Linked DNA regions of Oryzias latipes. Each later gene encodes a partner of the first gene's protein in a complex. Links are inferred from orthologs where the notes say so. Each region holds a gene or a part of one and is shown in the gene's direction. Other genes may lie near its edges. The genes, in order: wdr5, dr1, kat14, tada2a, kansl3, KAT8 regulatory NSL complex subunit 1 and phf20.

Region 1 (4,014 bases):
TGGAGTAATTAACCAACTTAAAAATGTAAACATGGGAAGCTACAGCTCCATGAAAGCAAACCAAAACCACTGCAGCAGATTCCCTCCTTCACATTCCTCAGAAAGGGTCTTTAAGAACTGCAGAACGTGCCAGGCGGAAGTGGGCGGACGTGACAAAAACCGCGTGTTTTATCACTTTAACCCACAAGAACCCCTGTTGTTGTTGGACACGCGCGAGGAATGCCTTCTACTGGATACTGAAATGCTTCACGTGTGCACGAACTCTCAAAGTTTTACTCAGTTAAATAAGGGCTTTGTATCCTAGCAGATGGAGGCGTAGTCCCCAAAACGTTACTTCCAACAACTATTGTAAAAAATTATTTGTCAAACCACACAGACTTCCTGAAGAGACAATGCAAATGAATACCAATATTTTCTTCGAGGTCAAGAAACGTCCAACGTGTTAGCTATCATAATTAGCTAGTCTGTGCACAAATGAAATGTTTTTCTTGCCTGGTGGTGAACGAAAATCCTTTATTTCTTTAACTCTGCAACACCTAAAAATGCTGCTATAAAATGTTATTGAAAAAAAAGTCTGACTTTTTTATTTTAACTAGTCATAATATATATCAGGTATTTAAGCAATTTAAAAAAATCACCTAAGTTTTCTTTTTAATCCGTTTCGAGAAAAAACTCCGATCATCATCTAACGGGAAGGGAGGGTAGCGGCAAGTTGTTTACCAACTCGTATTGTTAAATTGGAATAAAAGTTCAAGCAATGCTCCTCTTCAAAAACAGTAAAACTTTACACCGAAGCTTGAACAGAAAAGTATGCGCTTCAAGTACCTCCACGGCGAAGTCAGTCACCATCTGCTAACTTCCTCTCCCGACCTGCTGCACCTACATGGCTGGCAATTCAATTCGTGTCTATTTGTCTGGGCACGTCAGCCCAGAAGTCAAAGGGGAATACTGCCATCTAGTGTTCTGGAGTGTCCACTGTTTTCATTTGGCAAAAAACGCAAATATTTTGCACTGACATATTTTTCTTTTGATAATACTATTATCAAAAGAGAATTATATATTTTGCTTCACTTAACTTTTTTTCTGGTAAATTGAAATATTAATTGCAAAATGTTTACGTCTTAAGGGAAAACTGCATTTTGTGACGTTTATTCTAACTCGTGCCATCGATACTTGATCCTCACAGGTTTCCGTTACTTCTGTGTGTGACGCGCCTGCGCATTGCACTGGCACACTACATTCCCTCGTTTCTTCGTTGGTTTTCTCGCAGCCAAACGTATACAAGGAGGCAGGTAGATTAGTTTTTTGTAAGTTTAGGATCATATTACGAAAAAACAGACTGGTTTTAATCGTGTTTTCTTCGGTGGAGGAAAAAAATCTGGAGGTGAATCTGTAAAACGTTTCTGTAAGTATGAGCGTTTGCGTAAATCTTCATTGTCTGAGGAGTAGAGGGCCGCTTTTGTGGCAGGTTGTCAATAGCTAAAAACAAGTGACCGCATGTACATAGTGCTGATAGTTTTCCTGAACATCTAGCACTTTATATTTTTTAACGTCTATTTCATATCCATTTGAACATGCAACGCGTCTTTTTTTCAAGTACAAATATATAAAGTCTGTCTGAAGTTGCGCCAAAGGAAGGTATTCCGCGTCGCTTTTGTTATATGATGCTGTTTTCACCTATTATTTCTTTATGGTAAACATTTTGACGTTAAAAATGTGGAAGCTGACTTTAATGTACATCAAATGCCACTTCGCGATGTTTTTGTTTTGCCAGTTAAGAAAAAAGAGTTTTTATACGTCAGCGTACCGAAGCTAACTGAGCTAGCTAAAATTTTTAGCCATCGAGCTAATTTGTAAACGCTTAATTTAGCCAATACGGCTATACAATCTACATTGCAATTGTATGCATCAACTTTACCTTTTAATAAACAAAATATTTCTACAACACGTTAAACTATAAACGAGAGTATAATAAATTTGACGAAGGGGCTGTGCAAGCATGTAATTTGAAATACTTGTGTGCTCTTCTGTCTCCTTGCAGTGCTCAGTAGATGCTATTTTTTTCATGATGGCAACCGAAGACAAGAAACCAGAGACTGACACAAAACCTCCAGTTGTGCAGTCAGCATCTGCAAGCCAAAGCAAGGTCTGGATATAAGAAAATGACTGAGTACTCTGGGCCGTGTTCTTGTGCAACTGCAGCTTTGCATCAATTGTTTCTTTTGTTTTCCAATTAATACAAGATTAAATGGTGAACAATGCATTTTGGTTTTTGTTTTAGCAGAGTTGATATGTACTTCTTTTCTATCTTACCAATGGCATTAAATGTGCCCCCCCACAGTCTGCGCCTGCAAAGCCAAACTACAGCCTGAAGTTCACGTTAGCAGGACACACCAAAGCCGTGTCTTCTGTCAAATTCAGTCCAAGTGGAGAATGGCTCGCCAGCTCATGTGAGTTCATCCTCCTCTGTGTGGCTTTTAAGCAATGAATGTCTCAAAATGTACTCAACATGAAACCATTATATTGGTTGATGTTGACCCTGTTCAAAGGGAGTTTACTCAATGAAAAAAAAAAACTATGTAGAGTTTACAAAATGTTAACATTTAGGAATCTAAACAAGAGGCCGTCAGCTCTCATCTACCTGCCCAGCTGTTGGACAGGACAAGTAAAAAAAAAAAGAGAGAGAAAAAAAACAAACATTTAGGAATCTTGAGTTTATTTCAAATGATTTTTCGGATTAATTGTTAGAACAAAACATGTGAAGTAGTTATGTACATATATATTTTTTTACTAAAGCCACTTTAGTAGTGTTATTCCTTTCTGCCCCTTTGGCTTTTTGCCCTGACGTTGGACTTTAAAAGGCCCATTTCACCATGGTGTCATATTTTGTTCCATTCTCCGATCCGCCTCCAGAGTTAGTCTCAGAGATGAAATAGGTGGGTGAAAGGGTAAGACAATGCCAGGGCTGTAACCAGCATCCAAATACTTGGAAATCTTTCTATCTTTTCAAGAACAATGTTTGGGCATATTTGTTGTCTTTATAAATATAGTAGAATATAGTACAAATAAACTTCACGCATTGTAATTATCACTCTAAATCAGCAGAATAATGTTGGAATTCGAGGATATAAACTGACAGATATCAGCTAAAGATGGTAAAGTGTGACAGTTTCATGCTGAAACTGATGATGATTTATTTTCTGAACCAACAGTGTTTAGTTTTGTTGGGAAAACCAAAAAATAGAAACTTATAAAGTGCTGTTCACTGATGCTCCAATATCCCATAATCCATCCAACTAACATACGTCACTGTGCCTCTGTGCTGTGGAGGTGGGGAACACGTTGAACTAAGAAGTTAACATTCACTGAGGCCCCCAGCCCCAAAATGAACTTGTCAAGGAGAAATAATCAGAGAAAACTAGAACCAAATTAGAATTAAACGTAGAATGTTCTAATCTAGTAAATATAGTTTTCTGTTTATCAGATGTATTAAACTTGTCATTTGGATCAATTTGTATGCTGTGTTACATTTGTGTGTAGTGTTGGCTTCATAATTGATGTGATGACAGTAATTCATAGATTTGACTGATGTTCTCTTGTTCCAGCTGCTGATAAACTCATCAAGATCTGGGGAGCGTATGATGGCAAGTTTGAGAAAACCATATCTGGACACAAACTTGTGAGTAAAACTGTACTCTGATATTGCTCTGATATGTTCTCTGGATTTCCTGTGGGAGGAATAGATTTTAGAAGCGCCCTTCTCCTTCTTATGTGTCTGAACTATTTCCCATGATCCTGCAGGGCATCTCTGATGTGGCCTGGTCCTCTGATTCCAACCTGCTGGTGTCTGCATCAGACGACAAAACCCTGAAAATCTGGGATGTCAACTCGGTAAGAAGGTTCTGCACTTGTTCTAGGAGCCAAAACGTATTTTTTTGGCACTTATTCTTGTTTACCCTTTAATTTAGTATATTTCCCCTTTTTAATTTCCTAAGTAATGACATCTGGGTAAAA
Region 2 (4,249 bases), on another chromosome or scaffold:
CATTTTGAAAAGCCTTCTACAGAAGTAGTATTTGAATTGAGAGAGTATATGTATTTGAAGGCAATCTTAAATAAAAAAGGTTTGAGAAGTGTGTAAATTTTGATGCATGAGAACTGCTTAAACAGTTAACACAGTGGCGAATTCCACTGTGTTAATTAAAATTCACTTTAAACATGTTTAAATCCCACTTCTACCATCTTTTGATCTATTGTAAAATTGTTCCCAGTTATATTTTTCTGTTGCTCTCAATAAGCTGGCTAGCTTCTGTTAAAAAATCCAAAATTATTATTTAAACGAATTAACTAACACTAACAACAATATTTATCATAATTTCAAAGGAAGTTCTATTTCTTTATTAATTTTTCTATGCCACTAAATAAAGATCATTGTGAGAGAAACTACTGTTTGGCATTTTGAAATGTTTGTCTTTAGAAATTACATTAGATCAAGTTCTACAGGTAGAACTTGATTTAATGTATATTTACACTTTTTGGAAGTGTAAATATAACTTAAAAACAAAATGTTCACACATGGCAACGGGGCAACTCTAAGTCAGATAAAACAAAGAATAGTAGGGATGTAACACTTAATTAATTTATTTATCCAGATCAAAGTCTGAGACAAGTTGTTAATCAAATCGATAAATACCATAAGATCATTTCAAAATTAAATTGACTATAATCTTTACTGAAAAATACCATTTGGATTGAGGCATTGTAGGTTTATTTTACTGTAACTTAAAAATGACCACGTGCATCACAGTGGACAACACACACACACACGAGATGACAGCAAAACACTTTTGATTTAGCAAAGACGTGACCAAACAGTGTGGTAGAATGTTCTGATAATGTTCCATTTGTATTATTTTTTATGTGGAAAAACAACAGTAGGCAAAACTTTATGAAACTAAAATGTGAATGGATTTGACATTGGTACTTGATTACTGGCTTGTTTGTACACATATTTAATTTACACTTGATTATCTTGAAAGAAATACAAGGAATGTGGAAAAACTTCACCTTGCACTGTTAGTACCCAGGTATTTATCTCTGAGCCACATTGGTTGAATATTTGGCTGAAGATGTTCTGGATCAAAATAAGGTCAGTGAATCGTAATAAATTTACTGGTTCACTATGATCTAAAATTAACTATGAATCATATCAGCAACCACAAATTATATGAATCAAATTATTCTTAATATTAATGTTACAACTGCTAAAAACAATGCATTTGTAGATACATACTTTTTTTTTCTTCATTTAAAATAAATATATTTCCAAAAGTAGGCAATCTTAGAAAAATCAGAGATAATAGTTTGGTTTTGTAACGAAAGAAAAAAAAGATAATTACATCTGTAGCTCCCTGCGGAACAATTTCCAATCATTTGTTGTACCACCCGACTCCATCCTGGTGGGCACCGGAAATTGTTATAGCGCACACTCGGAGCCAATCAAAAACGCCCTTTGTCTGACGTCGTAACCGGACACATTTCAGCTAATGTTTGTACAGTACACAACTCCAAATTATAAACCTAAACAAAACATCTGCAATCAAATTTTGGTCAAGTTCAGGACTTACATATAAATACTCCAATTATTTACGAGTAGAACTGACTATAATTCTTGCGCTTCGTAAAGCAAACAGCTCCGCTTCATCTGCGCTTAATTGTTAGCTTAGCTTAGCCATGCTCTCCGCTTTCATTGGACTTGTGTGCTGCGTCTCAGTTTCGCCACGGACGACGGATATAAGGATATAATTTTTCTTCCCCCTCCCTTTTTTTACTGTAAGCTTCAGAGCAATCTTGGACATTTATTCGCCGATTAAATACGATATAGGAGCGCCGCTCAAGCAACAGAACCTGCTCATTGTTTGACATTTGGTTGGTAAGCTAGCCAGTGGGCTAACTTAGACTAGCTCGCTTGGCAACATTTCCATCGATATTTTCTTGAACCGTTATCTGTCTACTGTAACATGGACATAGAGAAGACAGTGAACGCGTGATAAATCTTCTCGAAGAAGCGGAGTTCCACTATTCTGTTCCTTTCCCCCCTTTTTTCATCACTATGGCTTCCTCGTCTGGAAATGACGACGACCTCACCATACCGAGAGCAGCTATCAACAAAATGATCAAAGAAACTTTGCCTAACGTACGGGTGGCCAACGATGCCAGGGAGCTTGTGGTCAATTGCTGCACAGAGTTCATCCATCTTATTTCCTCCGAGGCGAATGAGATCTGTAACAAATCCGACAAGAAGACCATATCTCCAGAGCATGTCATTAACGGTTGGTTCTCATTTACATGTATTTACCACCTCTTTAAATATCGCTCGTCCTTTATGTGGGTGGGTGTGTGTGTGTGTGTGGGGGGGGGGGGGATGCAAAGGAGCACGGATCCTCCTGCAAGCTTCACATCATAGAAAGTGTAGTTTCAACCTCGTGTTTCTGCACCACAGCCCTCGAGAGCCTTGGTTTCGGCTCGTACATCACAGAGGTGAAAGACGTGCTGCAGGAGTGCAAAACGGTTGCTCTTAAGAGGAGGAAGGCCAGCTCTCGACTGGAAAACCTGGGCATTCCGGAGGAGGAACTCTTGAGGCAGCAGCAGGAGTTATTTGCCAAGGTCTGATCTCAGAAAACTGCACCTTCAAATGTGGCTTGAACACCCACAATAATATTAACCTACAGATCATGATGAACACGGGCACACAACTTGTACTTTTCATTTGAGGTACAGAAGGGCTTGGTTTTGTTAACATTTTCAAAAGTTTCTAAACTGGTCATTCCATTTAAGGATATCAATCCCCTTTAAGATTGGATGCAAACAAATTTAGGTGTTTTAATAGAAAATACTTAACTAAGCTCATAGAGGAAGTATTTAAGATGAAAAAAAATCTTTTCCTGTCAAGTATTGTAGAAATGAAGACATGTACACACAAAACAATTTCAAATATCATATAGGCATACACATTTAAATCAACCTGAATGTAACTTCCTCTTTGAGTTATGCTGATTGTCCTGAAACAAAGCACTCTCTGCTCATTCAAAGTAAGTTAATGTGGCCCTTTCAGCTTTAACTGACAGGCCATGGTGTGTTTTTGCTAAAGGTTTTTTACTTTAAAGACCCACTCAAATAAAATATCATGTTTTTGGTGTTTTCTAAAATCTTCTTGTGGCATTTTTCTGATGATGGAAGACGTATCATAAGAAAAACAAGCTTCATATTACATTTCTGAGCATTTCTTCATTCAAATAGTTCTGAGTCAGGAGCAAACGACAAAATGCTGTGTGGAAAAAGCTACAATCGGCGGGCCACAAGCTTCCCTCTCTGCTCCATTCTGATACATCCTCTTGCAGACAAATGCATCCATGTACGTCTTTTTCCTCGTCTTAACAGGCTTCCGACTCAGCTATACAGCTGGAAATCCAATATTGCTTATCATTTTTGTCGCACTGGTAAAGTTAGGTTGGGGGTTTGAGGGGCTGTAAGCTAGAAAAATGCTACAAGAACATGTTAAAAACACCAAAAGCATGATTTTTATTTGAGTGGGTCTTTAAGGTCAGAGAGATGTATTTTGTTCACATTCCTTTAAAAAAAACATTTTGTTCCTATGTATTGCTTTGTTTGATTTGCTGCGTTGTATTTGATATTCATTTAATAAATATCCAACAACACAAGATAAACCTTTTTGAGAAGTTACATGTACGGTATATATTTAAAAAATTACCAAAAACTATTATTTCTGCAGTAACCGGCCGGACTCACTGCAGGTTGCCATGAGCTTGAATGGGTAAACCTGAAGTGCCACATTGTGTCAAGCACTCATGATAGAATGTGCGTCTTCTGCAGGCGCGGCAGCAGCAGGCGGAGCTTGAACAGCAGGAGTGGCTGCAGATGCAGCAGGCTGCCCAGCAGGCACAGATGGCAGCAGCATCTGCAAGCGTTGCCCAGCAGGCGGGCTCTTCTCAGGATGAAGACGAAGAGGACGAAATGTGACCCCCCCCCGCGACCCACTTTACTGTGTTTGAATTTAACGTTAGGAAAGTTTTGGTACACAAATCTCAGTTTTGCCATGAACAGGGACTTAAAACATGTTTGTGTACTTGAAATTTAGAAAGCTAAAGAAAGGGATGCGAGGGGAGAAACGGCCCCACATGCACATTCAAAGAAGCGTTTTTACCGGAAAATGGTAAAAATGGAAAGGCTGTTTGCGAAGTTTTTCATTAAATTTATATTCCCCTGGGTTTTTT
Region 3 (4,143 bases), on another chromosome or scaffold:
TTAGTAATATTGCATTTCTGTTGTTTACAGAGAAGACAGTTGGGGTCAATAGTCTTCTTCTATCTGATCATGTATTGATTATGGGATGGATTCTATGTAGGAGTCTGTAGTAGACGTCTCTCATGATATTGATTCATCATTTCTGATGCAGGGTCCAAACAGTTTTCCAGAGCGAGTCAGGAAGACGTTTCCTCCAATAGAAGACAGCAGAGGAACAGAAATGACGTTTAGCTGAAACATTATTTGGTTGAAACTGGAAGTAAGTCATTTTGCAGGGGCGACAGTGGCTCAGGTGGTTGAGCGGGTCGTCCAATGATTGAAGGGTTGGCGGTTCGATCCCCGCTCCCACCAGCCAAAATGTCGTTGTGTCCTTGGGCAAGACACTTCACCCTCCTTGCCTCCAGTGTGGCTCCACTGGTGTGTGAATGCACATGTATGATCCCGGTGATGGTCAGAGGGGCCGTAGGCGCGAAAGCCACACCTCTGTCAGTCTGCCCCAGGGCAGCTGTGGCTACAACTGTAGCTACCATCACCAAGTATGAATGAGGAGTGAATGAATAATGGACACAATGTAAGAACTTTGGGTGTCTTGAAAAGCGCAGATAAATCCAATCCATTATTATTATTATTATTATTTTCTCAGATGACGTCACGTCGCACGCGCTCAGTCCGGTTGTCTGGCCGCTGGGAGCCTAAAGGGCAGAGTCCTGCTGTCAGAGGCAGAGGGAATCCCTCCACTCACCTACTCTGCTTTATCTCTGTATGCCGACGGTCAACCACTAAAATCTGTTTACAAGTTTTATTTAACTTTAATTGGAAAAAACGTGTACATTATTTAAAAAAATCAGTTTTAATGAACTCATATGACAATGGAGGACTAAACTTTCTGGATTTAAAACACTAAATAACACATGGATCAACTGGATCAAATCTTACCTAAAAAAAACTACAACAAATTTGGAATATACTTCCACATTTAATATTTTCAAATATTTATGGCTATCATAAAAAAAACCTAGACTCAATTAAAAAACTAATAATTATATTATATTTGGCAAATTTGATATTCATAAATGTAAATTCTCTTCAACTTCTATTTTTTCCCCGTGTTAATCAGAGTAAAATGTCTCTCAATTCCATCTCTTAAAGTCTTAACCAGTGAATGTCAGTATGAACGCTGTAGAAACTTGAATGTTTTTATGTAAAATGCATGTAATATTCATGCTCTCCTGGCACATTTAAAATTTATCTTGTAAAATTGTGTTTGTACAATAAAGTTTTTAAAAAAAGTCTGGCCGCTGCGCTCCCGGCCGCTGGGGGCGCTGCGTCGCAGCTCAGCGGTCAGCCGCGCAGAGGAAGAGCGGGACGCGGCAGCTGCAGCGGGCTCGCGCTGAGTTGAACCCTCCGTGATGTCTGTGACCTCCAAAGTGGTTCTGGGAGTTTCTGTGGTTCTGACTCTGAGCACCGTGGCGACTGTGCACCTGAAACAGGCCTGGGACCGAGAGGTGAGCCGGTCCAACACCCGGTAGCGTTGAGGCTAACGGCTTACCCGGTTTAAGGCCATAAGCATCAGCGTGCCGTCTGCGGACGCTGCTGACGCTGATGCCAAAACGTCTGTCCGTCAAGTTATCCAGAGCTTCCGGTTTACACTCTCAAAAATAAAAGTTCAACAGAAGCAGAGTTCTCTTAAATTTAGTTTTCTGTTTATGTTTGGACTGTTATGGTTGTGATAAACATTAATGTAAATATATGCTGACTGACCTCGGGACCTCCCCCCGGACTTCCGGTTGAGTGGACTTCAGTGCTGATTTTCTGGTTTTGAAGTTAAACGCGTTTTATTGTGTCAGTTCCTGTTATTATCAGAGTGTTTCAGGATTTTAGTAGAATCCCTTCCAAAAACGAACCTGAGGGATTCGAACCGACCTCCTACTCCAGGGATGCCCACACGTTTGTGAGTTATTTTTGAGACGTCGAGCTCCTAAAGTTCTGGACCGGGACCACCAACCCTGCTTCAGTAGATGCTGGTTAGAATCAGGCCTGTTTCTGATTGGCAGAACACACCTGATCCAGGTAGCCCACCAGGAGAGGGCCGGCTGACCCTCTTCCTGGACTGACGGTCGTCTGGAATCGTGGAGGGCTGGTTGGAGCGTTCGACACCATAAATCGTAGAAAAAAAAGATTCAAATATTAAATTCAGGCTTTCCGGTAATTCAATAAAAGTGATAGAATTCAGGTCAAATAGAATGCCCATTGTCTGTCCACGGGGGTCCACAGGGGTCCATGCTAGGGCCCTGTCTGTTGTTCCATAAATGACAGTTTCCTGTTCTTTTCATTCAGACGGATGCTGATCACAACATTTGGATTATCTTGGGATTTATTAGACATTTTAACCTTAAATCATTGTAACCGTGTCACATTTCCTTTGACTAACTTTAATTTTATTTGGGCTCATTTGTTGCTAACATGGTTCTGTCACATGTTAGAACCGGTCCCAGACCAACCAAAGCACCAAACACAAACAGTTCAAGTACGGCATTTTACGACACAAACTCTGTTTTCTAAAATGCTGGGCGGTTCGTGGGGCCGTCCACTCCACCTGTTTGTCCAAAGAAGAACTGGGGGGGACCGGCTCTGAACACCACAGACCCGCCTACATGCCCCCCCCATCTATCAGAACTTTCATGGGGGCTTCCATCAGTTTCACTCCTGGGACTTTGTTGTAAATCATCCTTAGTGACGTTTTTAGAAAGAGGATCAAACGTCTGGTTGGGATCAGAACAGCCGCTGGACTGATTCTGGACTCTAATCTGCAGACAGAACTCTAGAACTCAAACCGCATGCAGCTCCTGATCTGCAGGAGGAACGTTAGAACACAGAACCTTCTTGTTCTGGACCCAGTTCTGGCTATGACAGGATGCGTTCTGGATGCAGACTTGCAGCCGCTGCAGTGGAGGAATTTGAACCGGGACTGGACCCGGTTCTACACTAGAACATGAGGGGTCCAGGGATCACTGCTCTCCTGTTAATGCCGGCGTCTCGTGCCGCGAGCAGCCAGCGGCCAATAGGTGTCGTTTTCACTGACTCCTCCCCTCTGCTCCGGCGTCTGCAGCGCCTCCACCAGGGTGTCGTTCGGGATCTGGAGCGGCTGGAGAGGAAGAAGGAGAACCTGCGGTTGCTGGAGCAGCAGAAGGTCCTGACCCGACACCTGGAGGAGGAGCGGCGGCGTGCTGAGGCCAGGCTCCGCCCACAGGACACGTGAGGCAGGTATGTTTTGTGAAACGGAGAGAGTGGAGGCTGTGAGGGGACGTGAGCTCACGCCGCTGCACCGACAGGACCGGCCCACAGGTGGCGCTGCGGCTGAGGGCGGACATGGACAGCAGCGGCGAGCCCCTGGCGGCGGACGAGGTGACGTGCACGTCGGCGTCAGAGGGGCTGGAGGAGGGGGAGGTGGAGGGGGAGACTCTGCTGATCGTGGAGTCGGAGGATCAGGGTTCGGTGGACCTGTCCCACGACCAGAGCGGGGACTCGCTGACCAGCGACCTGGGGGAGGAGGGGGAGGGCGGCTGGGCCTGCGAGGACATGTCCTTCTACTGCGAGCGCTGTCACAAGTGGACCCCTGCAGGTGAGCCCATCACCACAGGGGGCGTGGCCAAATCCTGCTCCCTAAGCCTAGCTGCATGCAGCGTTGCCATGGCGATGGGGGCTCTAACGGGTGTCTGTTGCAGCTCAGCTCCGAGGAGAACAGCCCAGCTACCTGAAAGGAGACAACTTCTTCAAGTTCACCTGCTGCAGCTGCTCCGAGGACGGCAAGGAGAGCTTTGAGAGGATGCGGCTCACCTGGCAGCAGGTACACCCCCGAAACCCCGCTGAGGGAGGGGGCGGGGCTGAACAGGTGTGTGTTTGACAGGTGGTGATGTTGGCCATGTACAACCTGTCCCTGGAGGGGACGGGCCGGCAGGGCTACTTCCGCTGGAAGGAGGACATCTGCGCCTTCATCGGCCGGCACTGGAACTTCCTGCTGGGAACCAGGTGAGCCCCCGCCGGCCGGGCGCCGCACAGGTGAGCCCCCGCCGGCCGGGCCCACCTGTGCGGCTCCGCACAGGTGGGCCCCCGCCGGCGCTGACCCGGTCTCTCTGCAGGAAG
Region 4 (4,207 bases), on another chromosome or scaffold:
ACTTGTGGGCATGTGGTGTGAATGCTGCAGCCAGGAACAAAAAAGGAAGCTCACTCTGGCTCAACACACAACAGCAAACCGTTACACAAAAAGGAGAAGTCTCTCCTCATAGGTGAATAAATCATGACCCTCTCAAAGGATGATTACAAGCTAGTATGACGGTGAGCTGGAAATTCCTCCAAAAGAGTAAGAGTGTGCGTGCATCTCCTTAACATACACAGACTATCGTTAAAAACCGTGTCTCTCCCTAGAGGCTCCAGAGATGAGTCGCAGGCTAGGATGCTACCGAACAGACCAATCAGGATGTATTGAACTCACAGAGAAGGCTCAAGCAAGCTGGAACAGAGCAGCCCATTCAGAGTTAACCCATCATGTGGTTTAGGAAGCTGCCCTCATCCTCTGTGGGGATTTGCAGTCTAAATATATTTGCTCTGAATCACCTCAAAGAAAGAAGGAATCAGATTTTCTGGTATCAATGACAGAAATGCAAATATTAGAATAAAAACTGTCATAATTAGTAACTGCAGAGAGGTTAAGAGGTTTCATGAAAATCAAACAGTCCTTTTTCCAGCCACATCTGTACTAAATCAGTCATTTCACTCAAATACTTATTTTTTCTACCTTTAAGTGAGTTTGGCACATGTGGATTTGCAGTTTTATGCATTAGGGTTTCAGATATTTGTTTTCCTAAGGCTCCTCATGGGCCCTCACTGGCATGCTCTTGAGGGTGTTTGAGCTGTTTTTGAATTGGGGGTGCCAAACCTGGACACAGGCACTGGAAAACATTGGTACTCATAAATATTTGCTGGTTTTCATATTAAAGAAAATGTCTTGAAGCCTTTTGCAGGCCAGGCAGCACCTCTGCAAAAAGTTTATGGAGGACAAAAAGCAGCATGGGGGTGTTGTGACACAGAACATTCATCATCTTTATTTCTATTTCTCACATGATGCTTATGCAAGCCTCAGGTAATCATCTGTGCTGGGAGGGAGACAAAGGCTTTCAGGGTGCTCATTGTTGCCTTAAGAGACATAGAGCAAGATCAGCACCTTGTGGCAATATAGGGAAGTACTGTCGTCATGGTGATGAGATGGAGAAACTAAAAACAAGTTAAAATCTCTCCCCATTGCAAAATAAATGTAAAACAAAAATCTTAAGAGAAGGAAAAGAAAGTTAAAGATGAAATACCTTTTTATAAAAATCATTTTGCATTAAAATGCAATATTCCATGTGGCTTTTTTATATATTTCATACATTTTTTTAAACAACATTTGTTTTCTGTTCAAATTTTTGAGTTTCTTCTGCCTTTGTAAGAACCTATGAGGACATGGCACACAACTATTAAAACATAATAGTATATATATCATTTTGTGTGGTGATACACGACCAAAACTATCGATATTCGGAGCTCGATTAGTTATGACGTCATCAGGCACATAGCCGAGTTCTGAAAAACAGATCGACCCAAATTCAATTTTGGTGTTGTTATTGAGAAGCAAATAGCAATTAAATGGACCGAATAGCGTCTTTTTCAGGTACGTATTGGCATTATTATACACACAGTTGAATTTATTGCAGTTTTACCAAGTATCCATCGACTTTTTGGAAGGTTAGCTGTTTTTGTCCATAAAGCAAGGTCTGCTAAGCTATCTTTAGCATTAGCATCGCCGTCAAAAACAATGCTATTTTTGTTTGCCGCAGTGATTTGTTGAAAATATTCGACCTGTTGTTGAGACATTCAACATTATCATCATTTTCAAGCTCGACTAGTAAAGCTAGTCCTTCGCCCAAGATAACATCTGTTTTGTGCATTCAAGTTTGCCCCAAAATCACGACTTTAGGCTATATGTATCTTTTTTAACTGCGTGTTGTTACTATTAAAACTGTTACTGATAATATATATATAATTATTCTGTTCATTTTAGATGACCCCTTTGATAAACCGCCTTGCAGAGGCTGCTCATCCCATCTAACCGAACCATACATCAAGTGCGCAGAATGTGGACCTTCACCTTTTTTGTTGTGTCTTCAGGTAAGCCAGATGAGGATGCTTATAATTTGTTTGTTTTGGCTCTTTAGAATGTGTGTTTGAACACAAACCGAATAACTCAGCTGTAACTTTACGCAGACAGACCACAGTTTAAACACTTTGGACAAAACCTTACGATTTTTTTTTTTAGCCCAGTATTTCCTTGTTGTTGTTGCAAAACTTCTTGGCAATAAATGTTAGACTTCTGCAAAATTAGTTTGCTTTATATTTTAAATGAGTCCATATTTGTGAGGAACGCGCATTTGTGCAATGAGCAGCAGAAGGTATGCAAGGTTTTCCAAATAGCCAAACTGCTTTTATTTCTGTAGCCATTGATTGACCCTTATTTTTGGAACTTCTGGAGGTTTCCACATCAGTGCCCGCCCAGCACTGATCGCCTTCCACAGATTTCTAACTACTATACCTGATTTGAGAAAAAAAATTCAAATGAAAGAACATGATGCCATCCCACGGCAGTGTATAATAAAGAGGTGTCAGGGTGTTCCGTCCAGTTCTTTCATGTTCCACTGATTATCCTGTTTCTTAACAATTGTTTTATTTATTTTTTACATTGCCAATACCATATATCTTCCAATAGTGGCTGGTCTTCAATTAATGTCAGGGCTATTATTGGAGGATATACGGTAAGTCTTACATCCATTATTAAATAATATATTTATTGCCTTAGAAACATTATTACATTTGAGAAAAAATCATGTAGCACAAATTAAAATACTTTTGCACTCTGAATTTTGAATTTGTTCAAATAGCATTAGATCGTATTGCTAAACCAAATAATGTTTTGTATGTATGTTCTTTATTATGAGTGTTAAGTGTTACATTTTCTAGGGTTTTCTATTGTTACAAATATTCTATGATAGATACAATTTTATTAAAAATTAAAATAATTGACATATTTAATTTTGTATCTATAAAATATATCAACTATATATTAATAAGTACAGTTTTTAAATATAGTATTACATTCTGTAGTAAAAGGGTATTAAAAGTACATTACAATGTTGTTGATCACATTTCTAAATGTGTTTCTTAAAAAGTGACGCTTTATTATAGTTTTATAGCACACTGATATTATGAAATCTTTTAAAATTATTTAAAAGGATGAAGTCAAATTGTGTCTAACCTGGTTTAATACTGTGCTTTCTCACACACCTGTGTTGAATACAAATTCTTTTGTTAGTTACTTCCAAAAATGCACTTGTTTTTTCTTTCTAGATTAGAACTTTGTTATTTTGCAAAATGATTTCCTTCACTGTTAAATTAATGGGGAAATAAATGACCAGATCTTTACGATTGGGTTTATTTGAAAAATAAGCCACATTATAACTGCTGCTTCTTTCATGGTCGTCATATCGATACAATTTATGAATTCACTTAATTTGCATGTAAGTTTTACTTTTCTCAGTTAAGAAAACCTCCTCAGTGCATTCAAAGAACTTTTATTTAATGAACAAATCGTGTCTTTTACCTGACCAGCTTTACCCTGAACTTATTTCGTTCCAGTGTTTTACCAGAGGATTTGAATACAAGAAGCATCAGAGTGATCACAGATATGAAATCATGGTGAGTGGAGCTGCAGTTGAGTTTCTCGGGTGTAGCTAAACATCATGTTTAGCGGGCATCTTTTGTGTTACCTCGACTCAGACTTCAGACTTCCCGGTGCTGGAGCCTGGATGGACGGCGCAGGAGGAGATGGCTCTGCTGGAGGCAGTCATGGATTGCGGGTTTGGGAACTGGTAAGAGGTCGAAGACATTTTACCAGTGTTTTCTTTTTGAATACACTTATTTTTACTAACTTCAAAAAGCAAGTTTTTAATGTTTTATCATTTAGCTATTTATCATTGGTGTCATGTTAGTTTCATTGTCTTTTGGTTTCAAAATGTGACAATTTTTACAAGTCATTTCTGCTGTTTAATGGAAATCTCACATTAATTATTTAAAAAAGAAGATTGGTGAAAATATTATTTAACAGTGGTTATATTGTTTTTTAATTTAAGTGTAATTTAGTTACTGCCTCGAAGTTTGGGGAAAAGCATATTCTGTCCATATATATAAAGCCTTTGTTTCATTTACAGAAAAAAGCAATTAGTATAATCAACAAAAAGGCAGCAGAGAATTCACTAATAATTTAATTGATTTTTTAAAAACTTTATTATTCA
Region 5 (4,136 bases), on another chromosome or scaffold:
CCAGCAGAAGTGGTATTCTTGTTTGTTTCAACACAATGTTGCAACAGCTGTTTTTCCCCAAAAATTATACATTTTAAACTTTATTTTCACGGTGGCAGTTGTATCTCCCATGACGGGATGTGTTTTGTTTATTCAGTGGCTTGTCAAGAAAATAAAGAAAACAGAAGTGTCGTCAAAGTTTCTCATGCGGTTTTTGGTATTGATAAGTGATTTTTTTTTACTTCCAAAGAGGAACAATATCAATATAACAAAATAACAGTTTTTTAAAAGAAAGGGTGTCCATTTAACTTTTTAAAACACACATTTGGAAAAAAAAAAAAGGAGCAACGGTGAGCATCCTGTTATGGCTGTGTAAAAACAGCTAAGCTGTTCTGCTTATCATGTGTCTTCTTGGCAGATTGAAAGATTCAAGACTGGCTGAATAAACACTAAATTGTTTTAAACACAAACAAACTGCATATTTTTAAAGTTGTAAAGCAGTTTGTTCTGTTAACATTGTTCGTACGGCTGCAAAAACCATTGACTGTTGTTATTTTACTGCCCTGTGATGTGGTGCATCATCTACTGTCACTTGAACACAAACAAGACGGTGAAGAAAATGGTGGATTTAACTGTGGGGGAAAAAGCCTAATATACCTTGGATTTTTAAAAGTGTTGTGCACAGGAATCACAAAAGTCAATAATGTAGCTGCTCAATATAAAAAGAGAAGAATGGACATCATGTTTTGAGAAATTTCATAGGTTTTACGGAGCTAACATAATACCCAAAGCAGACTACTTTATCTATTTAGTGTTTTCCATCACTTCAAGTCTGAACAAATTTCTATTGATGTTGATAACCTTTTTAACCAACAACTAACATTTGACTTCAGTAGACCTAGGCCCCTACAATGACAGGAATGTCTTCTTGAAATGTTTGTCTGTGGATATGAAACGATCCCTGTATTGATAGGGGCCTTGCCTTTTTACAGAAATCTCACTTTTCTCTTTTTATTTCACAGAAAGCCTTCATTTGATTCTGACGTTGAAAAACTTTGAAGCAGCAAGTTGGTACTTTGACAGTGGGGTCCGTGATTGATTTAGTGCTTGTACACTGCGTGACATACACAAAAATACTAAATGTAAAAACTTTACACATAATTCAAATTGGACATGCTCCTATTAATTATGAATCCTAATTTCAACGTACTGGTAATCAAAAATCCGAAGATCCAGTTCGTATTTTGCGAGTCTCACACTGACGCGCCTTACTTGCTGGGTTGCCAGTTTCGTTGAAATACAGCCATGCCATGATGTTTCTTTTGTCCTCTCCAAAGAGAAGGATAAGGAGATAAACTTGGCAACAAACCACACAACAGGAGGAAGTGAGGGCTTGACGCTTGTAACATTGTGGTGATAGCTTACTCTCGTTTATTAACAAATTCCCCGTTTCCATTATTTTTTTATTTATTTTTTTCGATTAAAAAATAAATTCAGACTCCAATGGTCAGCATGGAATAGTCAAAGGAACAGGTAATCTGGGGGAAAAGGCGATAACGTCATTGCCTGGCTGTCAGAGCTAGTTGTGCTAATGTTAGCATTCTAGTTTTGCTTACCGCGCCGAATACGCCTTTACTCTTTAACTTTAGATTTTGACTTCACGAAAGCTACAAATAAGTAACTTTCATGCATTAATGTGTGTGATCACAACTGTTTGATACCTAATTTGAAGTTACTTTTGTTGAATGTAAGTTTTCTAGATGGTAAATATAACAGATCTCTGTGTATGAAGTAAAACAAAATTTTCTTTTTCCCGTCAGTTTTCTCTGACTGCAGGGTTGTTGTTTTTTTTCCTTGGGCCCTTCAGGGCCCAGGAAGAGGATGCATCGTGTGGACAAAGAGTTGCAGACATCAGCTCACAAGATGAGTACATCCTTGCTTTTCCAGCTGTCGGCTCATGAGAGAGAGCTGGATTTGGTGTTTCTAGACCACAGCTATGCCAAACCGTGGAATGCTCACCCAGATGCCAGCAGCGCACGCCCCACACGGACGCTTTTTGTTGCCCCCCGTCGCCAGCCTGAGCCATCATTGTGAGTTTGAATGCTTAATGAAATAAGACTTTTTTTTTTTTATCAGCTGGGTAGGACAAATGGATTTTTTTGCTCAACTATTTTTATGTTTTACATCTATACCATGTTTTCTGTTTTGCAGAGACTCTGATTCCCTGATAGATGTGGAGACGGTCACACCCTCCCCAGTTCCTTTGTATGATAACCATAAAGCTCTTGGTGTGATGAAGGAGTGCGAGCGACATGTTCTGTTTGCTCGAACAGTTGCTGAGAGCCCCCCACCCCCAGATGACTGGGAGGAACATATAAACAAGTAAAAGATAATAAACTCACATAAAACCAACACCATGAACATCAGTTGCAGTGATTTCAATTTGACTTTATGTTTTGTGGTATTTCAGGACAGGATGGTCGGTGGCACAAAACAAATTGTTTAATAAAGTCCTGAAAGCTCTACAAGCTGAGAGATTAGCACGTCTCGCCAATGAAGATGTAATGTATTTGATGAAAGTCTCTTTTCTTTGATTTGTTTTTCTTAATGATTCTTTTTTATACATAGAGGTAAAAAATCTAAAAGCTGGTGTATTGTTTATATTTATTGTAAACTTAGTCAACGATTAGACAGCAAAGTAATATATGCTTTTCTCCTGTTTTAGATTTTAAAAAATTACCTAAATTGAGAATAGGTTTTTTTTCTCTGTAGTCAGTGAGATTAAATTAAAAGAGAGAATTTCTGCAAAAATATTTATTTTGAATGAAATTGATTACTTGTTACTTGTATTGCCCTTTTCCCTTTAGGCTTCCAATGAACCCATTTTAAGAAGGATTGCTGTGGACAAGTGTGCCAGGAAAGTTCGACAAGCACTCGCCAGTATGAACTGGGACACCAAACTGACACAGTGGTTACACACCACTCTGATCGAATCTTTAAGCTTGCCGATGCTCGCTGCCTACCTTGATGTGTTGCAGACTCTCAAAACCAAGGTATGATCTTAGTGACTGGACAAAAAAAAAGTTTTTTTTTTGATGGATTTCCATCTTAATAATACATTTTTTTCTACACATGCAAAGCTGCCATCGTTGATAGACAGAATGTTACTTCCGACTGCAAAAACTGGAGCTCCAAGTGCAGAGGCTCTGTCGCTGCTACTGAAACGTCCATGGGATCCGGCTGTCGGGGTTCTCTCTCAAAACAAACCGGTAAAAGCCTCAGACCTCAGTTCCTGGTGTGACAATAGCATTGTATGACTTTTGTGTTTACCTCAGCAAATTCTGATTGCACAATCTGTATCCCTGTCTGTTTTTGATTGTTTCAGAGTAAGCTTCCAGGATCTCCTCTCATCCTTATTGCCCCGTCAACCCCATCCAATCCGGCTCTTGCCACAACACGGCGGATGAGGTTCTGGCAGTCCCAGCTCTCCTGCTTGGGAAAGGTCTGAAACACATTGAAGTCTTTGTGATATTCGGATTATTGGTGTCAATTGCTAAAACAACAACAAATGATTGTGTTGCAGGTGATCCCAGTGCACACTCACGTAAACAGTGGAGCCAGTATTAGCATCACTCAGTGTTTGGAGCACATGCTTGGGACTGTAAGGGCAAAGGTCATGGAGGTAGGGGATCTTTATGATTGATTGTAAAATTAATCAATTTGAGTGCAGCTTTTTTGTTTTTAATAGGCATGTGGAAAAAAATCTTACTGTATTTTTTTTTCTATGTTTGGTTGCTTTCTTAGCAATTCATCAAAAACAGGATTTATCTTAAAGACATTAAGTTTATATAATAAGAAACATTCAAGTTTTTCCAACCAAAAATATTAGTGAAGTTAAAATGAAAGTACCATATGGATTGTATTTGCAATACAAACGTATCTTTTAATAAAAATTGATGTCTGCCTTCGGCAGCTTTATTCATGTGCTGCTACTTTTGCCAACAGGTTCACAGTCACTTCCCCCACAAGCCCATCGTGCTGGTTGGCTGGAACGCCGGCGCTCTCATTGCTTGTCATGTAAGACTTGGAAGTTATTTAAAATCTGAATTCAGTACATTCTTTAATTTGCTGCTGTTGCATTTCAGGTTTCTCTGATG
Region 6 (3,489 bases), on another chromosome or scaffold:
AGGGTGGAGAAGCTGCAATACAAAGAGATTCTCACACCCAGGTAGGTGCAAATGCCCCCCCGTGATCTGCCCCTTCCACCTGTTGTTTCATTTGGACCAAACTCTCATGGCTCTTGTTTTGTCAGTTGGCGCTCGGCGGACATTTTCTCACAATCCATAACTGAGGAGGAGAACGAGCGCGAGGTAAAGCTCCATTCTTTTTGTCACCGTGGCGATGCTTAGATCGCATGTTTCTGTGCAGCAGACTGACGTTGCATTGTTAAAACACTGAGACCCACTCATCTGAAAAGGCTGTTTTTGGGTTTTTTAAATTTGTTTTAGTAACATTTTTCTGCTGATGGAGAAAATTAAAATTGCATTTCTGAGTATTTCTTCATTCAGATCGGCGTGAATCAGGAGTGAATTGTTATTTGAAAAAGGTTGTATGCATGGCGTAGGAAATACGCTGGGCGGGGCAAAGGCTCCCCGCTCCGCTCCATTCTGATGCATCTGCTTGTAGACAAATGGATCCATTTATGTCTGAGCTGGCATCTGCAATAATAGATGGCTCCATCATTGCTCGCCATTTGGGAAGCTCTTCCTGAAACAAACGGCTGATAGATCTGATGTCATGCTGTGATGCAGGTGGAGGACCTCTCGGATGCAGCCTTCATTCAGCTCCATCAGCCCTACGAGGACCAGGAGCGCAGCCGCTGGACCTGGATGGCGCTGGCTCCTGCCAAACGGAGGGGCAGCAGGTGAAAACGCACAGGCTCCAGTGTCCGTGTGTTTCGTGGTAGGGGGGAGTTTCTGAAGCCCGCCTTTGTTTCCCTCAGGTCATATAAGTCTGTGGATGGGCGCACCACACCGCTGCTGTGTGGCACCAACCCTCCCACCCCCCAGCCTGCATCCCCAGACCCCGGCCCGTACCCCCTGCTCCACGACTACAGTCATGTGCCGTCTCCCATGAGTCCGCCCAGCCCCGACACCTCCTCCAACCCCCAGACCCCGTGCTCAAGGGACTCCCACCGGCTGCTGTCCAACGAGGACACGCGATGCTCAACGCCAGATTTCACCTTTGAAGAGCGGGTATGTGGCCCGATCGACCGCCGCCTCCGTTTGTCTGATTCTAGTGGCACAAAATCTGGTTTTAAATCTTTAAATAAACAACTGAGCAGCTGCTTTTACACAACCATGAGCTGAACAAGCTGAACGGTTTCACAGCGTTCATCAGACCGAGGAGACCCAGTCAGAGCAAAGTTCTGAAATCTTCTCCACTCTGATGGTCTGGATGAGAGCTGGGAATCTCTGGAAGAGCAAAAACAAACCGATTTTTGCTTTAAACTAGGTCACCACAGAAATATTTCCTGCTGTCCCACACAGTTTCCTTCAAAATGTTCATCAAACCTCAGGTTTTAATTCTTTTGTTTTTTTCCTGAGGTCTAAGAATAAAGATCACAGCCGATGCTCAGGTCGAGTCAGCAGTTCCACTGCAGTTGAATCAGAGCTGGTGCAGGTAGTTGATTACAGCTGTAACGAGTATCCGGATACTCAAATACTCCCCAGCTGTTCCTGAAAATTCAATTATAAATATTAGCAATGTCCCACATAACTGATCTTTATAAATATACAATAGTTAAAAGTAGACTCCATAAAATGTAATTAAAGCTCTAAAATGCAGACTGTTGGATTTGAAGTTTATAAATCAAAACCAGAAGCTTCTCTTTTTCTAAGTAAAGCTAACGAGTGTTTTCCGTAGAGATCAGTTAACTGAAAGAAGTTCAAAAAATGTTTTAAATATATAAAGAAAAAACAGAGTAAAATAGAATACAAATATGATGAATATAATTTTAAGAATATTATATAAACCTTATGTTGGAATCAGTTTGTAAAACATGTCTGTTGAAAACCCTGTGAGCGTTTTTTAGTGTTGCATTTTTATTCAGGTGTTTCTACATTGTGTCAAATATCTACTGGAACTGTAGTCAACAAAACTTGAAAACTGGAAATTGAAGAGAGTGTTCAGGATTAGGTCTAAAATGATCCTAAACAACAGTGCTGGTTATGTTTTGTTTACTGATGAGGTCAACCAGGAAGTTCACAGAAAACCTTGAGACTGTTTAAAGTGATACATACTATGGTTTCTCCTTAATCTGTTTTTATCTGTTCTGTTTTGTTGATTTTGGTCTCCTCTTCTAGAGATAGAAGATAGATTTTACCTCTGCACACCCTCTCCACGGGGTGGGGAGGGTGTGGAGCCGCTTCGTCGGGCCCTCCAGTTTAAATACATTTTCATAGATCCAGTAATTCATCCATAGAGCAACAGATGGGATCGTGCTTTGATCTATGGATCACTGATCCTGATTTGTCAACGAGATCACCACCTTGATAACGATCCCTGTGTTGATGGCGTGTGCTGGTCGACACGTCAAAGTTCTACATGAACCCCTAACTCTGTCCTGAATAGAAGTCTAAATGATTCTGATTGGATCGTCACTGAAGGATTTATGTTTCAACTCTCTTAAAGCTTCAAAGTTGTTCATTTGATCCTCTTGTTTTCCAACCAGACGGTCGCGCCGTGGGAGCGCCGCAGCTTCCCCCTGCCAGAAGACCCGGCACCAGAGCCCGAGGCGGAGCCCGACCACATCAGGCCCAGAATGCGCAGCATCTCAGGTTGCCGAGCAACAGCTTGTGGACGCCTGGACTCAGACGACATGGAGCTGCTGTGTGACGACGACAGCAGCTTCAAACAGCGGGCCTCCACCCACCGATGAGCGCAGAGCCGAGGGAGGTGGCTCCGCCTACTCCTCCTCGCCGCTGCGCAGCTCCTCTCTGGCATTAACAAGCAGAACCTCAAAGCAGAATAAGATATATATATATATAATGGGTTCCTGTTGTTTGATATTCAAACATCAGTCTAATACTTTCACAGTTTTTAGTGAACATTATGAAGATAGCCTTTCCCCACACTTGTTTTTGTCACAGCAAAAAATATAAATGTAAAAAAAAAGTATAAAACAACACATTACAAAAAAGAAGTTCTGTAGTAAGCTAAACAATGTACATGGGGGGGGGGGGGGGGGGGGGGGGGGGGGGGCGGGCTTAGTGGTGTTTCATATGTCGCGTGTACATTTGTAGCGCACTATGTAGCGGACTCCTCAAAAGATGGCCAAAGGGTGTTTTCTATAGTTTGCTTGTGATTCCCATGTACATTTTTAGTGGAGTGACGAATAACAAAAGAGAAAAAAAAGCCCCCACCTCTCCTTCCACCCCCTCTCAAACAGGTACATTTGGAAATTGGGTCCCCCCCCCCCCCCTGCCGCCACCACCTCTAGGGGTCACCTAAGATCACCAGAGCACTTCCCACAGTCCAGTCTAGTTGAGCTGGTTTGTCGTCTTTCTGTTCTGCATTCCTGACTCGTTCTGTTTGTCGTTTCGCCTTTTCCAGAGCAACACAACCTTTGTGTGTTTGAACCGTCACAATCATTCCTTCAGCATCTGCGCAGACGT
Region 7 (3,500 bases), on another chromosome or scaffold:
AGTGTTTGTTCTGTTGTTTTGGTGAAGTTTTATTTAAATAAAGAAGATGGACATCTGTAAATATACATTTGAAGAAATGCTTTACAATTTCTTTTGTTTATGTCAAAGAAACATTGATCACCATCAGAATAAGAAATATGCACGGAAATATGTTATCTTTTCGATCAATCTCATCCGTGCCGTCTCTCCTGTACAGAATGTGCTCAGTTTGCCAAATCTAAATAAATCTTGAATCCCGAGTAAATCTTTTTTATTCTATAATATTAGATTAATTTTTCTAAGGAGGTTTGAACTTTGAGAGTTTAAGCACGAGAAAAGTGTGAAAATGTCCACGTCTGTCTGAGAAAAGTGTTTAAAGAGGAGTGTAGGATTAAAGATAATTTACAGCCTTAAAACATCTGTATTCCTACTTTGCAAATGTCACTTATTTTGGGTTATTTTTAGAACATAACCCCTGTGATAAATGACAAAACACTGTATTCATCAAATGCCTTTTTTCATATTTTCTCTAGTATTTTCAGTTATAAGTCGTGGGATTCTCAATGGAGTTTTTATTTATTTATTTATTTTTACCAAATCCACAGATTTAAGGCTGGTTAATCCAGGTTTGGTCTAATAGAATAAGTCTATGTAACCATTGAAAGAAAAAAAGGGGCTCACCAAACATGTTTTAACCCCGTGTTGACCTTTCTTCTGGTTTTTACAGACTCGACTGTGGGGGGTGCAGCTCATCGTGGTGATGTGAAGACTGCTGGCAGGCGCACATCCGCACCACCTGCAGTAAGCACGCATGGTCAACAGCAGAGGGCGCTGCTGAGGGAGAAGAGCAAAGAGAACCAGCTGGACAGGATCAGCTGCCAGCTGCAGGACTCAGACAAGGGTGGCTTTGACTTTGGTCAGTATGATGCTGGGTGTCATTTTTATTTAAATAAAAAAGGATTCCTTTTTTTTATTTTGTTTATACATATTTCATGCTGTTCATCGTTGGTTTGACCTCGTACGATACACTTCTATTCAAGTACCAGTGGAATTATCTTGGCTTTACTTGGATTGGGCTTAATTCTTCTCACTCAATGGTCTCCAGGGTCTGTAAAAGACAAAACTAAGGAGAAACCAAAACAGAAGGACTTCCTCCGCATTAAACTCAAGAAGAAGAAGAAGAAAAAGAAAGCCAAGTCTGGTAAGAACCAGGTCCCTGGCACAGGGCGAGGTCGAAAAGCTGCTGCCCTGCATGTGCTCTGGCTGTGACATTGTGTGCAAAGTTAAAGCACCTCATTCACTCCTTTCTGTGTGCTGATCGAGCTTCTGTGTGTGTCCTGCTGGTCTGAGTCTTCAAGAAGCCACAGTTTATTTTAGAACCTAAGTTTTGGTAATAATAAGAGTTGTTTTGCCGCTCGAATGCAGACTAATCAAGAAGAAAATACTTTTTTCTGTCTCTTATTGGCATCCACTCACACACATACATATTTGAAGGGTTGACATGGACATTGTTGTACATCCTGCCTGGCTTCCTTTGGCCGGAGGCTTGATGAATTTGTGTTATATCCTCCTGACAAAGTTTGTCATCTGTAGAGGACACTTCTAAACCTGAATATCTCCCAACCCCTGCATACTACTGAATTAACTCACTATAATATCTACAGAGAACATTTGGGGATTTTCAATGATGTGAAGGGGTGGGGCTCTGGGATTTTTAGTTTTATTGGATTTAAAAATGTTTTAGAGGACACGTTTTGAAGGAAGTTTTTAATCAAATGTTTGTTGTCACGTTTTCCTCCTGGGCGCTGAGCATTTTCAAAGCTTACTTCTCTGTTCTACATCTGCTTCCCCCCTCCCTGTGTTAACAGACCACACAGGTAGTGAGGAGAATATTGACATTTCAGTATTGGGTCTTCACTCCAAATTGAATTTGCAACTCAAACCCCCCCTCTCACACAATCACAAACCCGAGGCCTACCCCAGCAGGCCTGGACACAGCTTCTCTGAGCAGATACATGTGGATGGTGGGTACCTTTGTGACGGTGTGAGAGTCTGTGTGTGTGTGTTAGTTTGTGCAGATTGTGTCTTTCTGTGAACGTCTTTGGCTCCTCTTGTTACGTTCTTCTGTTTTCTCTGGATTCAGTCCACCATGTGACAAATCTTCCTCCACCTTAAAACAAATGCTGCCGCTCCCATAGGAAGGCATGGTGGGCTGAAGCCTGAGCTGCTTGCTGCTCCTGCTTGCTTAATCACATAAATCAGATTTTATTTAGAGCTCACTTTTTTTTAACAGAGTTTTCAATCGGGTTAAACTGAATCCTTTTGTGTTGGTTCCTGTAGACGAGGACAGCATAAGTGACTGGTCCACTGACAGCTGCGGGTGGAGCGATGATGACTTCGACATGGATTTGGACGTCACTACTCCACCTCTTAGCACAGACTCTGGTGCCGTGGACACAAACGATCAAGAAATTGTCCGATGTATCTGTGAAGTGGAGGAAGAGAATGACTTCATGATTCAGGTGAGCTGGCAGTTTACTTTTCCAAAGGTTTGCTTTAAGGGACACGGCCTTTCAGTTGGTGAAATATGTTTCTCCTGTGTTAGTGTGAAGATTGTTTGTGCTGGCAGCACGGCACCTGCATGGGTCTGCTGGAGGACAACGTCCCGGACAGATACACATGCTACATCTGCAGAGACCCTCCAGGTAAACGAAGGAAGAACAAAGCAGTGGTAGCATGCCTTAAGTCATATTTGCTTTTTTTAATTTATTTTTTTAAATCCAGTTTAAATGCTTACAGGGTGGCCCCGGATCCTTGATGAAATCTTTTAAGGTCTTAGATTTAATTGACCAAAATAAGGCCATCTAAAATATTAAGTTGTCGTGAATGGTCTTAAATTTTTTTCTGGTCAACGCGATGCGACTTCCTGTCTTTAAAAAAAACTTTTTAGGATGTGCTGTGTCAGTAAGGTCGTGAACTGGTCATGAATCATTTAACCTCAACTACCTAGTTCTCTCACGCTTAGAAAGTGGAGAAATGGGGGTTACTCTTAGTGGTTAAAACTGGTTAGTAGTGAACTGTGATTTGCTAAAAGACATTTAAACTTGGAACAATGCGGTCATTTCGCATGTGTAGAGGAAACGGCTAGCTCTGGCTGTTTGCTTCATTCAAAGTGCTTATTATGAATGCATCAGGGCAAGATTTGGCCAATTGTCCCGGCCATCTGGGTATCGTGATGATGTCTTTTAAAAATTTGTATATTTTTATAGCATTATTTTTATTTTTCATCAATTGCTGTGAATATAATGCTAAGTTCACATGTAGCAAAGATGCTAAAAACTTTTGGCGATGGCTCCTCCCACATGCGTCAAGGCATCCACCAGGTTTATGGACACACTTTTGGACGAGTGTCAGGCAGTGAATTTGACGAACACAATGTCAATTCACTGCTCAAATGGAAGACACAGAAGGATGATGTTGAGAAATCCTATTTATTGTGAAGAGCTCCACGAAAGTGTCTG

What was found.
Region 2: wdr5 (region 1) and dr1 share a complex: the UniProt entries of both Homo sapiens proteins name them as parts of the ADA2A-containing complex. The link is inferred for Oryzias latipes from reciprocal best matches to the Homo sapiens genes WDR5 and DR1.
Region 3: wdr5 (region 1) and kat14 share a complex: the UniProt entries of both Homo sapiens proteins name them as parts of the ADA2A-containing complex. The link is inferred for Oryzias latipes from reciprocal best matches to the Homo sapiens genes WDR5 and KAT14.
Region 4: wdr5 (region 1) and tada2a share a complex: the UniProt entries of both Homo sapiens proteins name them as parts of the ADA2A-containing complex. The link is inferred for Oryzias latipes from reciprocal best matches to the Homo sapiens genes WDR5 and TADA2A.
Region 5: wdr5 (region 1) and kansl3 share a complex: the UniProt entries of both Homo sapiens proteins name them as parts of the NSL complex. The link is inferred for Oryzias latipes from reciprocal best matches to the Homo sapiens genes WDR5 and KANSL3.
Region 6: wdr5 (region 1) and KAT8 regulatory NSL complex subunit 1 share a complex: the UniProt entries of both Homo sapiens proteins name them as parts of the NSL complex. The link is inferred for Oryzias latipes from reciprocal best matches to the Homo sapiens genes WDR5 and KANSL1.
Region 7: wdr5 (region 1) and phf20 share a complex: the UniProt entries of both Homo sapiens proteins name them as parts of the NSL complex. The link is inferred for Oryzias latipes from reciprocal best matches to the Homo sapiens genes WDR5 and PHF20.

The regions. Positions count from the first base shown.
Region 1 is NC_019870.2:23,025,019-23,029,032, reverse strand, and holds the start of wdr5 (WD repeat-containing protein 5), read left to right. Parts: upstream 1-1,214; 5' UTR 1,215-1,405; intron 1,406-2,041; 5' UTR 2,042-2,065; coding exon 2,066-2,146; intron 2,147-2,341; coding exon 2,342-2,450; intron 2,451-3,605; coding exon 3,606-3,679; intron 3,680-3,801; coding exon 3,802-3,891; intron 3,892-4,014. Other genes in the region: bromodomain-containing protein 3, read right to left, coding at 826-849.
Region 2 is NC_019862.2:24,028,850-24,033,098, reverse strand, and holds the start of dr1 (protein Dr1), read left to right. Parts: upstream 1-1,449; 5' UTR 1,450-2,067; coding exon 2,068-2,287; intron 2,288-2,457; coding exon 2,458-2,621; intron 2,622-3,848; coding exon 3,849-3,995; 3' UTR 3,996-4,249. UniProt on the Homo sapiens protein: The association of the DR1/DRAP1 heterodimer with TBP results in a functional repression of both activated and basal transcription of class II genes.
Region 3 is NC_019859.2:454,268-458,410, reverse strand, and holds the start of kat14 (cysteine-rich protein 2-binding protein), read left to right. Parts: upstream 1-1,343; 5' UTR 1,344-1,505; intron 1,506-3,109; 5' UTR 3,110-3,264; intron 3,265-3,332; 5' UTR 3,333-3,369; coding exon 3,370-3,622; intron 3,623-3,725; coding exon 3,726-3,847; intron 3,848-3,907; coding exon 3,908-4,029; intron 4,030-4,139; coding exon 4,140-4,143. UniProt on the Homo sapiens protein: Component of the ATAC complex, a complex with histone acetyltransferase activity on histones H3 and H4. May function as a scaffold for the ATAC complex to promote ATAC complex stability. Has also weak histone acetyltransferase activity toward histone H4.
Region 4 is NC_019871.2:10,133,050-10,137,256, forward strand, and holds the start of tada2a (transcriptional adapter 2-alpha), read left to right. Parts: upstream 1-1,407; 5' UTR 1,408-1,508; coding exon 1,509-1,533; intron 1,534-1,923; coding exon 1,924-2,030; intron 2,031-3,551; coding exon 3,552-3,611; intron 3,612-3,692; coding exon 3,693-3,784; intron 3,785-4,207. UniProt on the Homo sapiens protein: Component of the ATAC complex, a complex with histone acetyltransferase activity on histones H3 and H4. Required for the function of some acidic activation domains, which activate transcription from a distant site. Binds double-stranded DNA.
Region 5 is NC_019867.2:17,071,567-17,075,702, reverse strand, and holds the start of kansl3 (KAT8 regulatory NSL complex subunit 3), read left to right. Parts: upstream 1-1,336; 5' UTR 1,337-1,512; intron 1,513-1,799; exon of another isoform or gene 1,800-1,846; 5' UTR 1,847-1,860; coding exon 1,861-2,069; intron 2,070-2,190; coding exon 2,191-2,361; intron 2,362-2,449; coding exon 2,450-2,540; intron 2,541-2,846; coding exon 2,847-3,032; intron 3,033-3,119; coding exon 3,120-3,248; intron 3,249-3,364; coding exon 3,365-3,481; intron 3,482-3,562; coding exon 3,563-3,661; intron 3,662-3,984; coding exon 3,985-4,056; intron 4,057-4,124; coding exon 4,125-4,136. UniProt on the Homo sapiens protein: Non-catalytic component of the NSL histone acetyltransferase complex, a multiprotein complex that mediates histone H4 acetylation at 'Lys-5'- and 'Lys-8' (H4K5ac and H4K8ac) at transcription start sites and promotes transcription initiation.
Region 6 is NC_019877.2:19,788,183-19,791,671, reverse strand, and holds the end of KAT8 regulatory NSL complex subunit 1, read left to right. Parts: coding exon 1-41; intron 42-125; coding exon 126-183; intron 184-624; coding exon 625-737; intron 738-815; coding exon 816-1,068; intron 1,069-2,546; coding exon 2,547-2,753; 3' UTR 2,754-2,989; downstream 2,990-3,489. UniProt on the Homo sapiens protein: Non-catalytic component of the NSL histone acetyltransferase complex, a multiprotein complex that mediates histone H4 acetylation at 'Lys-5'- and 'Lys-8' (H4K5ac and H4K8ac) at transcription start sites and promotes transcription initiation.
Region 7 is NC_019863.2:26,153,538-26,157,037, forward strand, and holds part of phf20 (PHD finger protein 20), read left to right. Parts: intron 1-706; coding exon 707-895; intron 896-1,084; coding exon 1,085-1,180; intron 1,181-1,847; coding exon 1,848-2,003; intron 2,004-2,319; coding exon 2,320-2,501; intron 2,502-2,584; coding exon 2,585-2,684; intron 2,685-3,500. UniProt on the Homo sapiens protein: Methyllysine-binding protein, component of the MOF histone acetyltransferase protein complex.